Drosophila melanogaster: one gene and its partner. The protein of the gene in region 2 interacts with the protein of the main gene of each other region in a pairwise test. Each region holds a gene or a part of one and is shown on either strand. Other genes may lie near its edges. The genes, in order: jvl and spn-F.

Evidence for each region.
Region 1: the proteins of spn-F (region 2) and jvl interact in a two-hybrid assay, tested with the Drosophila melanogaster proteins (3 studies listed by BioGRID).

Annotation. Positions count from the first base shown.
Region 1 is NT_033777.3:14,738,053-14,746,732, reverse strand, and holds the start of jvl (javelin-like), read right to left. Parts: upstream 5,152-8,680; 5' UTR 4,556-5,151; coding exon 4,142-4,555; intron 833-4,141; exon of another isoform or gene 578-832; coding exon of another isoform or gene 385-577; intron 327-384; coding exon of another isoform or gene 1-326. Other genes in the region: smp-30 (senescence marker protein-30), read left to right, coding at 1-326, 385-577; eff (effete), read left to right, coding at 6,330-6,353.
Region 2 is NT_033777.3:31,252,186-31,259,658, reverse strand, and holds spn-F (spn-F), read right to left. Parts: upstream 4,533-7,473; 5' UTR 4,417-4,532; coding exon 3,690-4,416; intron 3,622-3,689; coding exon 3,254-3,621; coding exon of another isoform or gene 3,218-3,253; 3' UTR 3,000-3,217; downstream 1-2,999. Other genes in the region: CAH6 (carbonic anhydrase 6), read right to left, coding at 286-548, 611-701, 1,283-1,389, 1,807-1,873; CG1750 (uncharacterized protein), read left to right, coding at 4,805-4,980, 5,036-5,360, 5,418-5,580, 5,636-6,000; mRpL32 (mitochondrial ribosomal protein L32), read right to left, coding at 6,042-6,304, 6,361-6,600, 6,656-6,740. UniProt on the Drosophila melanogaster protein: Plays a role in oocyte axis determination and microtubule organization during oogenesis. Also required for polarized organization of the bristle. Required, with jvl, for activation of the kinase IKKepsilon in the germ line.

The DNA of each region.
Region 1 (8,680 bases), about 17 Mb from region 2:
ATATTCACCCAATGGAAGGGTGAGCTCTACAGCTGGCAGGCCGGTGGACAGCCCAACGCTATCCGTAGCAAGGTGGGCATATCCAATGGCCTGGCCTGGGATGTCAAGGCCAAGAAGTTCTACTTCATCGACACCAACAACCACGAGGTATTGGCCTATGACTACAATCAGAGCACCGGCGCCGTAAGCAACCCAAAGGTCATCTTCGATCTGAGGAAGATTCGGCCCGAAGGACCATTGTTCCCTGATGGCATGACCGTAGACACCGATGGCAATATCTACGTGGCCACCTTCAATGGTGGCACCGTCTTCAAGGTCAATCCAAGGTAGGTTTCTTTAATTTCCCATTCTAGTTCAATACTAAACATTATCTTTTTAATTCAGCACCGGTAAAATTCTGCTGGAGATCAAAATTCCAACCACCCAAATCACCTCGGTGGCTTTTGGAGGTCCCAATTTGGATATTTTGTATGTGACAACCGCCAACAAGTTCGACCAGCCAAAACCAGCTGGTACCACCTTCCAGGTCACTGGGCTCAATGCCAAGGGTTACGCCGGCGTTAATTTGAAGATCTAGATTATAGACTACTTGTATAATAGCATTTAATTAAATAATCAAACATTTACTTGTATACTGAACTAATGCAGTTGGTTTTTCTCTTATTTTTGGCATTTACTAGTTTCCAAATATCTAAAAATGTGCCGAAGCTCTGTGAAGGGCATATCTTTAATTCTAAGATTGCAATCAAATCATTTAGGAACATCACATTTCATGATGCATTTTGATGATAAGATTCATTTAACGAAATAAATAAACACTTATGTACAATATAAAACCAGAAAATATATAGTCTTTGACCTTGAGGGATGTGAAGCAATCCCTGGTTCCATGCCAGATAAGTGAGAACCACTCCAAAAAAACCAATAGATTTTTATGAAATTGATATATAGCAGCGCTATACTCCCTTGGTGTTATTTTTGTAGGGCAAACGATTCAGATTAAAATGAAATTGCAATAGTTTATTTTTTAAAAACATCTAGTAAAGTACCAGGGAGATATTACTACTTAATTGGGCAAACAGATACCAAGTTGATACGTCAAATGTTCTAGGGGACTCGTACTTAATAGATTGTATTTGTTGTGCGTTTAAAGTTCTGTGGAAGATTTTAAAAATTCTAATCTAATCTCGATAAAATAGCAAATCATCTATTTCATTATAATAAACTAACGATTTTCATTGCAACTTTTAGTGTGTATTCATTAGCAATAAAATCTATTTTTACCATCAATGTAAATCCTTCATTTCAGCACAAAATTTGTTCCATTTTATCTTATCTCTTTTTCCACTTGCGAGATAGTCAAATCCCCCATAATTACAAGTTAAATGAGCTCTAGGCGGAAATTTTACTATTATGAATGAGCACAATACAATAAAAAAAACTAGCGATTGGCTTACAAAATCAAACCATTTCAAATAAATTGCAATAAATCGATTCAAATATATATCGCCTCAATCGAAAGAGGGCACAATATTGATTGTATGTGAAATGTAACTAGACAGTGGCTAGAAAATCTTGTGGGATACGAGGAGGTCTCCAGGGGGCAAGAGCAATCAAAAACATATTTCCAAAAAAAAAAAATGGAAAAGAAGGGCGAGGAAGATGAGAGATCTATTCGACAATTGTTTGCGCTGCACCCAAAACAACTGTTCCACAATATATGGGTAATAAAAGATACATTTATTCAGATACAGATACAGTATCCATATGCGCATTGTTTGACAACACGAGAATGCCACACAGACTGATACAGATCCAGATACCGAACACATATGGCAGCAATAAACATAAAGAAAGACAAGAGATGGGGCTGAAAACTGAAAACTGGGTACTTGGGCTCTGGGGTCTGGGGGACTGGAACCTGCCACTTAAACCGCAATCAGAAACAAAATTGATTTAAATTTGAAAATGTAAACAACACCCGACAAGGAGGACGGATTTAACAGCAATGCAACGTAATTGTATTATAACAACAGAGGCTGAGACTTTCAATTCATAACCGTCGGTGGTCACAGTGGGTCTGGAAAATAAATGGATATTTAAGGCCTTATTTACACATTTTGGGCCACCTTGAGAAAAAAGATTAAATATTGACTCAATGAACACAAAAGCTGGCTGTTTCTCGAGCTTTAAATAGCGAATAAAGTGTGCAAATGTTCATTTCATTTCACTTGTTCTATACTTTTTCATTCTTATCTATCAGAATGTTTCGAAAGCTGCCACAAAATGCTATGATCCACTGTGCCTCGAAAGTATCGCCCACAAACATTCCTATCCATACCGAATGGGGCATATCACATACGAGGGTGCCACACCCACTGGGCACTTTTTTGGGGGAAACCCACGTTAGAAAGCGCAGTAAACCAGTGGAAAGTGTCAAACGATCTGATCATCAAATTTGAAAAGAAAGCATGAGAAATACGTAAGGTAAATATTTAAAATGCAGATTGCATCTCAATTTGATTGAATAATAAAAATAATATTGGATGTAGGTAATAAAAAAAAGGTTTACAAGTTATTACAACTTTATGCAAATTTAATGTTTTGACCAGGTTTTACGGCCTGAAAGGTAATAAATACAAATCATTACAATATTGCTTTATGTTTCTTCTGTTATTCCAACTCTTATTTTAAAGACATATAATATTAGACTGCAAGAATAAATGCAATTTAACTGACAATTTTTTAACAAATTCTGCTGGAAATACCCAAATAAGATATGCACGTTAAACTTGTATCATGTTTTGAGGAAATGAACAATAGGATGTCTCTTCTAACCATTCCCATCGACTTTTCCAGACCATGAAAATGTGTGTAGCTTCGGGAAAAACCGAAGCTGGGCAAAAAATACTGGCAAACAATTTTTTTCGGGAGCTTTGTTGTCTGCGTTTGCCGACGTACGTTAATGAAGCTTATGAGCAGCAGCGCACAAGTCGCAACTCACTGAACTGCAACAAAAACAACAAGCACAGTGAAGCACAAGTGAAGCGTTGCAGTGCGCGACAGAGAGGGCAGACCGTACGGTTGGCATGCGAGGGAGGGAGAGAACGAACCGCAAGCGGGCGGCAACAAAAGGAGAGCGCTGCGCCAGTCAATGGCTGCACCTGTAACCACCTGCCCATACCGCCCATCCCCATCCCTCCCTCCGTCCACCACTCCTAGCCCCATCAAAATGAGACAAAGCACAGTTATGCTCGGCTTTGGCGGTTGGCGGTTGGCTCATTAATGTCTGACACGTTTGAGCGATCACCGTGCTGCAGAAACTCGAAAAAAGGTACTGATATAAAAATATATAAAAAAAAAAACAAACAGCCCAAAAAAAACGCAGTGTAAACAATTTTTTTAAAGCCGCTCGTGATTAACATTAAAAACGCATTTCCAATGGAGATCTGATTCTGCATGCACCGATTTCCGAGAGGAACAGATAGGCGGACTGCGGCAGCCAAGCAGAACGTTTATAAATATAATACAGTAGTTAGTGGCTACAAACGAAACAACCAACCATGCTAAACTTACAACTTTTCTAAAGCTATATCTATTTGAATATTAGGTATCTAAATTTATAATCTGGATCAAGAACTCATTTAAGTATAACCACGGAGTTATTAGCGCGTTCTTCTTAGGCGGAGCTTACTGTTTAAACTATGAATTGGGCGGGAATTATATATTCAGATATGACACGACCCAAGTTGCAAGTGCAGCGGAAGTGATCCATTACGCAAGTTTAGAGCGGAAAGAGCGGTGCGATTGCTCGAAAAAAAGAGATGGCAGAGTGGAAGGTAGAAAATGAGTATTAAAACCCATGGGGGTTTTATTACAATTACAATTCTGTGACATGCCAAACGAATCCCTCGAACTGGAAACTCTCTGTTCCAACCAGAATTCTTTATTTTTGGTTTTCTTTTCCTGTTTTGGGGTTAAATCTAAATACATACAAATGGCATTATCAAAGTTTAAATAAAATACTACATTTTATAATACATAACTTAAAGGGGATATATTATATTTGATTGGCAATTATAGAAGTTCCTTGTTCTCCTAATATTACAAGTTTATCTGGTTCTTTGTGCAACAAACTCACCTTGTGGCAAAACGCGGCTGCCTCCTTGGCCACGCCTACTCCGTCCGCTGAGTGGGCGTGCGTTGATGGCGAGGTCGCGTAGACGAAGAGCGGTAGCGAGCTAAAGTTCCGTTTGTCCTGAAAGCGGCGGCTGAAGAATAACGGCTTGTGGCATCCCGCTGCAGCGGCTAGTATGTTTGTTGTTGTTGCCGTTTTCGTAACACTAGGTGTGGAAGCTACTGCTGCTGCTTCTTCTTGTCTGCGCGTATTTACTGTTGTTGTTGTTGTTGTTATGGGTGCTGCAGTTGTTGTGTTTGCTGTTGTTGCATTTGCTGGGGTCGCCATTGGCGTATCGCAATTTTCTCGTATTATCGCCGCTTCTTCCTCTTCGCTGCAAGTTGTTGTTGTCTGTGTTTGCGTTTTTGTTGTTGGCATGACTACAACTACAGCTACTATAAATCGAATATAAATATATCGACGGAGGCGTGGGCGGTGGCGGAGCTGTGGGCGTGTCCCTGCAGCTGCTGGCGTCCCTTATTGTTGTTTCTGTTGTTCTTGTTGTTATTACTTAGGACCTTGGCATTATCCTCCTCCATCTTTTTTGCTGTTCAAGAAGTCAGCGAAGTTCAGCGCTTGCCAAAACTGAATGATTAGCACTTGCACATCGTCGCGTTTATCTTGGCTTTCTTCATTATTTCTTGTTTTTCAAGTGCAAAAATATTGTACAAATTCTTGGGCCATACAAAAGTGTGAGTTCTGTGTAAAAATTCACAAAAAAATACGCACGAAGCCGATTGCGGGGGTGGGAGAGAGATGGCGATACACGAACGAGTTCAAAGGGCCGCCAAACTAGGAAAAACACGCCAACAAATCAAACAAAACACTTGCACAACCGCAATTCGATCAATGTCGAAGCAAAACAGCCACTAATATTAAGTATATTACTTAATTAACAAACACTTTTGTTTGAAATATTTTGCAGACAGTTAAAGTTAGAGCTGGAACCAAAATCGATGTTTATGCGATACTATCGATGTATAGGGTAAGAGGGCTGCATTGATTAAATTCAGCTACCGTCGATTGTTTTAACTGTTCATACTATTATAACGGCAGTTTCAGACAGCGGAAGCGCCATTTGGAGTAGTGAGAAAATAAAAAGTTAAATTAAATGAACCAGTTTATTTTGTTAAAAATATTTTCATCCTTATGATAATAAAATCTAAATACTAAAAATCTACTAACGCCTGTTATTCCCAAAAACTATCGATAGCACAACGGAAAATATCGACAAGTATCCTGAATTGGCACGTCGGCCTTGCCAGACCAGCGCTCTGGAGTGAATTTAAATTTTAAAATAACGCCCTGTCAATTCAGTTGTAGAACTCAGTAGCTAGTCGGAAAGTTTTCAAGAACTCGGATTACCAACATCTCAAAATTGCTCAGTAAAAACATTCCGGCAGCCTGCAACACGTTGGGTGTTAACAAATTTACATACAAGTTGCAAGCTTTTGGGCGCACGCACCATCGATAAGAAGGTAGTTCGAATAAAATATAACACCTCCTCGCTGCCGGTAAAACTATTTCTTCTGGCTGTTCCCGAACTAAAGTGAGTATGAAGAGTCTTGCATTGGCAATCAAATTGTAATTAACTGATTCATCCCTCACCTAAAAGGCGTTGCCACCCAATCGATCTGGCCACCCCTAGCGAAAAGGTCATATAGCTGGACTGCTCTGCTGGACTTCCGCTTCACAACACTACCACACGACACAGACACACCATTCCTCTCGCTCGGGCTTACACTTCGGTGTAACGATTGTGCTTCGTTGCGTTCTCAGCTCACTAACGGTCGTCTCTATCGCACAAACGGTCGAAAGGCCCCGCATTGATTGTGAAAAAATAATCGTCGCCGTAGTCTTCGTCGGGTCGCCGTTTTTACTTGCAGTGCGCTGGTGCTGCTTTATTTCGTGACAAGGGACACTCAACCGAAAGAGCCATATTTAAGCATCAAAGTTCTAGAGGCGCAACGCAGCTTTGTGTTTCGTTTTTCGTTCAATTCTAAGCAGGAGGATTATATATTGAATAAAACCCAATTCTGTGCGAAGAACAAAAGAAATACGCGAGACACCAACACCAGCACACAACCAACCAAACACACACACAACCAACCAAACACACACACAACCCAGAAAATCAAATTTCAATCAGAAAATGGCGTTAAAAAGAATCAATAAGGTATGTGAAAAAAGGAATATCTCAAAAAACTTTGCGAAACGGACTAAAAAAAGAAAGAACAGAACCCTTTGCGATACACCAAAATGATAGTCTAAAAAAAAAGCGAACAGACATCAGTTTTCAACGGGAGAAAAATTTTATGCAAGAAATGTGAAACGTAGGTAGTAACCGAGGAGAAGAAAGAAGAAGCGGGGGGAAAGAAGCGTGCAAGAGGGAAGGGAGAAAATGAGCTGTGGAGTTACCATTTAATTAATAAGTTAGTAATTAGGAGCAGATTAGAAATTTTGAGGGTGGTGAAAAAGGTATAAGGATGTGTGTGTGTGGTGGGCAAGGCAACGTGTAGTGCAGTCATCGCTTCCGTTACTTTTGCGAGAGTGTGGGATAAGTGTGTGTGCGATGCGTGTGCGTGAAAGTGCAATGCAAATGTGCATTGTTTGTGTGCGTGTGTGCCGGGCACCTGGATGCATTTACATTAATGCAACTATACGGCGGAGTTTTCGCAGCTCTACGGGCGCTGTTACCCAATACACGCTGTACACGGCACTCGCACACACTCTCAGCCTCGCAACAGTCACACATAAACGCACACACTGCCAGCGCCGCAGAAAGATCCAGCAAAAAATAAAACAGAGCAAAAGCAAGAAGCGTATAAAATTAACCTAACCCTACTTTTTGCGCTGATAATTCAGAAATAGTGCTGCCCCCAAGCATATATATTTATATATGTATTTAGGTAGAGTGGTTCTAGCGTGCGTGCTTCGATAATTATTTTTAAAGTGCCTGCGCGTCGTTTGTCCTTGTCCAGTAAATGCTTTTTTACACCCCAATGTTCAAGGCCCTGACAACCCGATATTTTTTCAAAGTCATCCCAGCCTTCCTCAAAAGCATTAGTAATATCTCGAAGTTGTGGAAATGTTACTTGGCAAATTGGGATCTTTTTTTACGTTTGAAGCCGGTTATCATAGTCATACCCCACACACACACACATTAAAACGCTCGCAAATACAAAGTCTCGCCATCACTTGGCTATGGCCATTGCATGCCATCTCGCTCTGGCCCTGGCGCATTCCCTTTGCCCGCGACAGCTGAGGCCTCATTCGGTCCCGCTCGCGCAATGGGGCAGAGCCAAAGAGAGCGCAAGTGTGTGAGTGCTAGCGGGGCTTAGTGTTGCAAAACACCGTCAGCCAAAAGGGGGCCCCCAAATAATTAGTTATAAATTATAATTAAGCATAATTTACATACAAAATGAGCAGCGAATGCGGAATTTGTTCATATCTATGCGTATGTGTGAGCGTGGTGTGTATTTGTGTTTGAATGTGTGGGGCGGGGGTCTGCTGACTGTCTCGACAAAAGCAGCGCTGCCTGCGTCGGCGTCATGGCCATTGAGTTTTCCTCGTTTTTCGTAGTTTTCTATCCATTATAACATTTTAATGCCTGCCTAAATGAAAACGAAATGGCAAGCGGCAAACCGGAAATAAAAGTATACATTGTAGTAAACTCTTAAAATCACTCACGCCCCCTTTTTGTGGTCAATTCTTCAAAAGCCTTTTTTCTCTAGATGGCCTCATTTGCCAAAAAAGAGAGTTAAAGAGCGAGAGAGAACGGCTTAAACGCCGATCGGAGCTCACTTGAACCGTACACTGAACGAAATGGGCTTTAGAACCAATGCATATGGCATTTAGTCTTACTGAACCAATTCTTAAAGTTCACAATATTAATTATTCGAATAAGAATTAAATAGAAGTTTGTATTGGTAGTGCACCTGGTCTAATATTGATAATATTATCGAATTTTCTTGCTGTGCACAAGTGTGCGTGTTTGTTTTTACTTCATTTGTTCGTCTGATATGAGTCATAACCGCTCCGACTCCCAACGAAAAAAGAAATGTAACAATTTCTTGTAATTTATTTTTGCTCAACAGGTACAATTCCCAAAATGAGTAAGTGAGATGGGGCAAAGAAACACGGTGTTTTTCGCGACGGCTATTTTTGTTGTGCTCCACTCTGATTTTGTGGTGCCGTTACAAACACACGCATACACTGAAGCTCAGTCTTCTCACTCTCCTTCATTCTTCCTCCTCCTGCTGCTCCTCCTCTTACTTCTCCACTGAGTCGCGCTACTCTTTCGCAGCTCATCTTCATTATTCTTTTTATATATATATTCTTTTTTTTTGCCGGTTTACCTTACACCTCATTCTCTCTCCCCGTTTGGAGTGTGTGTGTGTGGGGCAGCTGTGATAAGTGAAGAAGAGTCGGAGTGTAAGAGAGAGGGAGGGGAGCCGCTCAGCTGTGTGCGTGCGAGTGCAACAGGGATGGAGCGACTGGTCG
Region 2 (7,473 bases):
AAAAAAAATATACACAAATTATTTGTTACAAACTCCTAATGAAATTTTGAACCGTCTTTGTGTTCAAATGATTGATTCATATAAGCAGAAAAAAACGATGAAAGAATATTCATCTGAAAGTGACGTATTGGCACGTTTATTTTTCTATGGCAAATTTAGTTTTACGGTGAAGATTTTCATTGCATCATCGTTCCATCACGTTGGATTAGATTGCACCTGGTTTCTCGGTACAACAACCCCTTGTACGATTACTGACCTAAGAAAAATAGATAGATAGATACTCACCTTTACGATTTTCAGCATGACTCCAATAACAGCAATGCCATCTTTCTTGTTTTTCGCCTCATCGATATCTCCATACTTCTCATTTCGGTGGACAATGTGCATCTCCACGTCGAATCGCTGCTGGTTAATGGAGTGCTCGGATCCGCGGGAGCTCGGGGATCCCCAGTGGAAGTGGAAGGCCTCGGCCACAAATCTGCCTTTGAGCAGACCCCCGGTTATGAAGGGTTTGTTGCCGTTAGCAGTTTCTGGTATCTCCACGTGAGCTGCCAAGCAATTAGTAGCTTTCGTTCAAAACCATTGGAGATCTCTCGAACCCACAACCCACCTGTATGTCCATTATTGAGCAGGGTGAGCGGTCCCCTCAGCTTTACGTCATAGTTTCCGAAGACGATCCGCGGTAGTGGGACGATGAGCGACTGCCTCATCGAAAGTATGACAATGTATTAGTGGTTATTGAAATAAATTAGGCCTTTCAGCGCTTCCATTTTCCACACCCATTACCCCTTGTAATGCAAAAAGTGGCGTTAAAAGAGCTCCCAATTGTTAAAGTAGATATGTTACAAACTATATGCCAATTTCGACTATCACATTCCCCATGTTGTAAGTCAATTATATAAGCTAATTGGGAGAATAATAGTGCCAATCATCGCCCAGTTATAGTTCATTTTCATACAATCGCAGCATCCGTTGCTGATTTTAAATGTTTTCTTTTGACAAATATTATACAAGTTCTTAGACGATTTTGTTATGCAGTAACAGCGCTTAAATAGATGCGCATATGAAATAAGGCTGAGTTTTGGCACGCATAATTAATACGAATTTGGTGATACACATTTTAAATTTAATTGATTTCTTTACATCACTTTAAACTAGGTCTGAAGCTAAAGACCAACAAATAGTTGATTAGGAATGTAAGGCTGTTCAAATCATTAAATCATTGCAAAGGAACTCTAACTAATTCTGATCATAAGTGGTGTCATATGTATTTGTTACTTACTTTTTGGACGTTTAACGAAATGGGTGACTGTCTTTCGCCCGTAGAGCAAATTCCTCCCCAATTCTGTCCGTTCGTCTCATAGTCCCAGTGCGATTCGTCTTTATGATCTACAAGTTTCAAATTGAAGAAAATGTTAGGTCTAAGACGTTTTCACTTTCTTTCAGCCATCTAGCAGCAGTATCTGGTAATCCTATTAGCCAAGACCGTGAATAAATTCACTTCTGTTTTCATTCGGCGGAATTAGCCGACTCTCATTTCTCTCGTTTCTGTAACCCAAAATAGGGTATGGCAGAGTGATTAATCACAGTAGCTTATACAATTAATGGTAATGGGTGTGCGCCAAGACCCTTTCAAACGTTTAATCCCAATTTTTAATAATTTAGAGGGAAGTTAGTATGTGTTTTAACCGCTTTGAGGCTATTTTGAGGCACATTTATCACTTCCTGCCATTGAAGGCTAGTTAATGCACTTTTATCACTCCATTCGATTTACATATCTATCTTAAGATCTGGGATCGAAATTACCATTTGATGTATGCTGATAGGCGAGCGGTAGTAGTAACAAAAGCTTGTGAAAGGCATTCGGCTGCATTGTTGCAGATCGCAGATGTGATTGTTCTAATATTACTATATATAATATTGGATTCCCGCGGACGCGTGTGTCTTTGTATTGAAATTCGCGGCGTTTTCGATTTTACATAATTCATACGGCGCGAATGTGCGGGAGATATGTTGGCCTCTATATGATGCTGTTGCCACTGCGAACTGCGAGCAACTGAAACGGGCCATAAACACCCCGATATCTTTTATAGTTTGGAGGGGCACGGTGCCCACGTAGACTTGGCGTCTGGGGGGAAGTCGGAATGGAATCGGATCGGATCTGAATTCGACACCTAAGTGGCGCGTGATTAGCCCCAAACGGTAGCAACAAGTGGCAGACTAATTGCAGCGCTGGGTTTTCGAAATGATAAATGGATGGATCGCAATATATAGACCATGAGAGCTAGGAAAACCCAGTATTAGTTGGAAATGCGGAAAAGATCTAACAAAAGTTGCTTGAACTCTTACAAATTCTATGCACATTGGTTGGTGAATGGGTGGGGTTACCAGTTATACGACTTGTAGATAAGCACCAGATTTGATAATTTGTTTCATTATCTGAGCATTTCATAGTAACGTAATAAAGTATCCACGGGAGCTGCCACGTGCCTGTGTCTTAAAAATATTTATTTATCAAACTTATTAGCATAGGCAAATTAAAATGTTTCCTTAAGCTAAATTCCTGCTGCGACCCACTCCAAATGCATTAAAAGAAAGTTAGCTCTGAGCATTTGCATTTGTATTGCTATCAATGGCAAATCTTATGGTCAATATTTTGGCAAATATTCGCATTGAATGACTGGATCAGCCCGATTAGGCACACGTTGCCAGTCGGGTTTCGACTACGTCATAGCCAAAAAAACAGGGAAATCCTCTGACCAGTTACAGCATAATGGCCTCAAGCCAAACTTCTTTGTCGAATGTTCCACTCTTCCCCCAAAGTGTGTGACTCACAGAAAAGCTGCCAATTAGATCGGATAATGACCACAAGCGATGGTAACATCGATCGTCATCTTTGATATTACAATATTTGTCAGCGCTAATAATATAATATTTATGTTGTCCACGGTCCACGATTTCACTTTCCAACCAACCGAAGAGAGCGCTCAACATGTTTTCAGGCTTTTCATTTAAACTGTATTTCGTATTCGGTCACTTACATCTATATATTCATGCACTCTCCGCAATTATAATACAATATATATATATTTTTTCTTAAAGTTCAATGTTGTATAGTTTTGATACATGATCGCCCTAACGTCTTATCAATAGAAACGTAACAAGCGGCTCCTGCGCAGTCAAACTGCTCCTTAATCCTTGGATTTCTCCGGTCAGGTCAGAGTTCGGTGGCGAAATAAATGCGCCTACTGGGTCAGAAGTCACCCACAGCATGGGAAACGAACTCAAACTGGCGCTCAATGCTGTTCTCCGACTCCAGTTCCAGTGCATCGTCGATGAAGTGCATCTCGACGTGCTCGCGGAACGCATTGAAGGACACTTGGCTGGAGTACTGCTTGCCGCACATAGGGCAGGTCTTCTCCATTGCGTCGGCTGCATCTGCTTTGATTTTCTCTTGTATTATGTTAATTCTCTGGCTGGGCGGCGTGCCATTGTGTCCATTGTGTTGGCTCTCATAGTTCTTCAGCTCGCTGGTCAGGCTGTCGTCCGTTTCCAGACTTTTGTCGGCCATCTCCGGTTTTTTGATGGTTTTCTGGGCACATTCCGGACAGGGCTTGAGTGCTGCTTGCACATAAAACAGGCGTTAAAAGTTATTTTTTTTATAGCATGAATTCCATTTTGTTGCTTACCTATGCGATTTTCTAGCAGAGTCATTACCGATCTGAGCTCCTGCTGCTGCTTCATGGCCTCTCGCCTCAGCTCCTGCAGTCCATCCAAACATCTTTTGGCATCCACATTGGCATCTGGTTCACTAGTGGTTTCCTCCACCTTTTGCAGGTTGTAGGGGTAACCTAGTTCCTCACTGCTGGCACCGAAGTCATCCAGGGCTATTTCCTCCAGACTGAGATCCTTAATGCCGTCGGAGAGCATCTTTTGGCGAAGGTGAGGATTGGGGGAGTGCTGCGTAAAGGTCTTGGAGCGCACCAGGTTCTGGTTTTGCTGGGCTCGCGAGTCTGTTGAGCTGGGCAGTGCGTTCAGCTGCTGATCCTTGGAGATCTGCGATAGGCGGGACCAGAGCCGTCTGTTCTCGTTGGATACCATGCCAATGTGCTCCTCCAGCTGCTCCTTTTGGCGCTGCAGCTCAGAGACCTGTGCTTTCAGAGAGAGGACGTCCCCAGTGACCCCGATTTCGTTTGCCCTTGGAGCACCTTCCGACCTGCTGGAGGCCTCCCTTAGCTGCTGGTTCTCCTCCTCCATGCTGGCCACGCGGCGCTGCAGCTGGATGCACCGCTCCTTGATCGTCTGCAGCGCCACTTGCAGTGCGTAGTTCATTTTTTCACTGGAGGGGGAGTTTGTGGATCCGGAAGCGGACATGGAACTGGCCATAGGCGTGATTTTGGCAGCAGATGCCTCCATTCTGCAGTATTGGAGTTCCTTGGCACTTGATCCCAAAAATATACGTTTTCCTGTAGATGTTTGATTTTCCAAATTTTTATTGCGTTCTCATTAGTATGACCGTGCGATGAACTTAAAAAAATAATATACACTATACCGATAGTCTATAGTCACTGAAGACAGATAAATAAAAGTAAAGTAATGTATTGAGCTAAGTTTAATTACTTAAACAAAAATAACGACTCTTGATCTTATAAAGTTAGACCACCATTTACATGGTTGAAGACGATAGGTTCAACAGGTTTCACTCTATCTCAGCATTCCTATTACGTTATTTGGTAGAGTGACCAGCTGGTATCGCGAACAGCTGTTTTTGTTTACGCTGCATTATTATCCAACAAATTTTCCGATGTTTTGCGGCAAGAGTTTAGTCAATAATTTTTACAAATATAAGAGAAAAGTGTGGCAGAATGTAATCCCAATTGCACAGCGCTGCAAGGGAACTTACCACCCTCCAAAAATTCTCTTTTTCGGTACCGACAATTTTTCCTTGCCCAGCTTACAGGCGCTACACAAAAACTGCGGGTAAAATGTTTTAAACAATAATGTTAAATTGGATTAATAAGAATATTTTTCTTAGTGATCGTTTGGGAGTTGTTACCTCCTTCAAAAGTCCCGCCAACTGTGTGAGGACCTACGCGGAAAAGGAGAAGCTTCCCCTGCAAAAGTGGCCCATAGATCCTTCTGTGTGTCCGCAATTTGATCTGGGTGTGGTGGTCTCCTTTGGCCACCTGATTCCTGGTAGTATCATCAATGGATTTCCTTATGGGATGATCAATGTTCACGCTAGTTTGTTACCCAAATGGCGGGGAGCTGCTCCCATCATATACGCCATCATGAAGGGAGATGCCAGCACTGGAGTTTCCATCATGAAAATCGAACCTCACCGGTTCGATATCGGTGATGTAAGTTCATTCTTATCTTACCATTGTATGCAGTAGTATTGACGACTTATGCTTTAGATTTTAGCTCAGCGAGAAGTGGCTATTAATCCCGATGTCTTCATGCCGGATCTGCATGCATCTTTGGCGTCGCTAGGAGCCGAGTTACTTGTGGATACTATTAACAACCTATCAGTAAGACTTAAGGAAGCCAAACCCCAAGATAGTTCAAGGGTCAGCTATGGTAAAGCATATCTAAGCACTTCGAGAACCTATATAAACTATATTTTTGCCTTCAGCTCCCAAGATTACCAGTAAAATCACAGAAATTATCTGGTCCGAGCTGAGTGCCATTGAAATATACACTCGTCATCGAGCTTTGTATGGCTACAAAAACCTTACAACCAACTTTTTGGGCAAGCAAGTGCAGTTGCTGGAGTTGCGATTACCGGAGAAGAGAGTTCCCGTCCAAGAACCTGGTGCCATCAGCTACCTAAGGAAGTCGAGATCCCTCATAATCGGATGTGCTCAGCAGAGTCAGTTGGAAGTGCTTCAGTTACGCGTGGAAGGTAGAAAACCTATGAGTGCCCAGGACTTTAACAACGGATTCCTGAAGCAAGCAAGGTCCTTATCCTTCACAGAGAATAAAATAGCATCGATTTGATAACGAACGTGTGGATTTAATGCACAATGGATGCTTAGTATCTAGGCCAAGTCGGAGGGCTTGACTTCCTTGGTTTCGGACAGCTGCTGCGTGGATTTTTGGAGCAGATTCTTGGTGAACCACATGGGACGAGGCTTCTTCATCTCCACGATGCGCTTGTTTTTCAGATCATCTGTGGACTGTTCGGCCTTCTCGCCTTCATAAAGAACGATTACTTCCTTGTCCACGGGATCTAGACCGAGTGTCTCCTGGATTTTCGACTGCATGAGCTCAGTCTCCTTCAGGACCTTTTGGTAGCAGAAGGCTGGAAGAGCAACATTAAAGGTGGCTACCTCTTTGTATACTTTTAAGGCTACTTACGACAAAGAACTCCCATCTCGTGGTCATGGCCACATTGCAGACAGGAGCGGAGGTTTCTCTTCTCCCTCAAAGGCTTCCAGTTGTATTCCGGATATCCGAACTTCCGCTTCAGGCGTTTCTCCACGGATCTTCTGTGCTTCGGAACAGCCCACAGCAATCCGTCGCCAATAAGCTGCTTCAAACTGAATTCCTGGGAGGATTTAGGGCTGTGATCATGCTGAAAACCGGCCAACGCTAAAGCTGTGTAAAAAGTGGGTAAGTCAGGGTAACTTTATCTTGGGCTGGTGCTTCTCACCAGGAGGGTGTCCTCCATGTGGCAGGAACAAGCTCTCTAAGTTCCTAATAAAGTTTGTAATTGATAAAAACAAATTTCTAGACATCTTGTTGCTGCTCTTCTGAAATTTACGTAAACGTGATTAGAGATGCGCAAGAGGAAACAGCTGTGCTATCGATATGTTTATAGAAAAACGTAAGTAAGGCACAAAATAGATGTAAAAATGTTAATTCAAAAAAGAGCAATAAAAATGGTGTAACTACTTTTAAAATAATGTCAGCATCCGTAAATAACTACCGTTTTAAGGTTGCAGACTTTGTCGCCTTACGTTGCACACTTCTAGTGCTACGTTTTAGCCGGCTGCCTTGCGTCACCGCGCACGTTGCAACCCTAAACAGCTGTTCGCAGCAGCTGTTCTGCACTGTTACGTCAAAATAAAGTAGTGAAAAGGTGCAAATTGCGTGCGAGTTAAATAAAAACTATTTGCCAGGCGGAAAAACGCGTTTTCATCGGGATCTTTGAGCGTCCCAGTTGTTGCGGAACATGAGGACACTGGCGGGACTAATTGGTAGTGGCGGTAGTGGCCATAGGACCTCTGTGAGCAACGCTTGAGTCCAGATATATCCCTCCAATAGTGTGACCCATAGGTAGCCTGGGGTCATCCAAACAGACCTCGACCCCCAGTGACTGTAAAACCGCGTGGCTGCCTTAGCCACCGAAATCCCCGTTCAAGTTCAAGCCGATCTTACCTTCGTGAGCGATCGTTTCCACCACAGTCGGCCAGTGGGATTCCCACCACACCTGACCGCGCGCACGCGCATCGATTCAAAAATCCACAA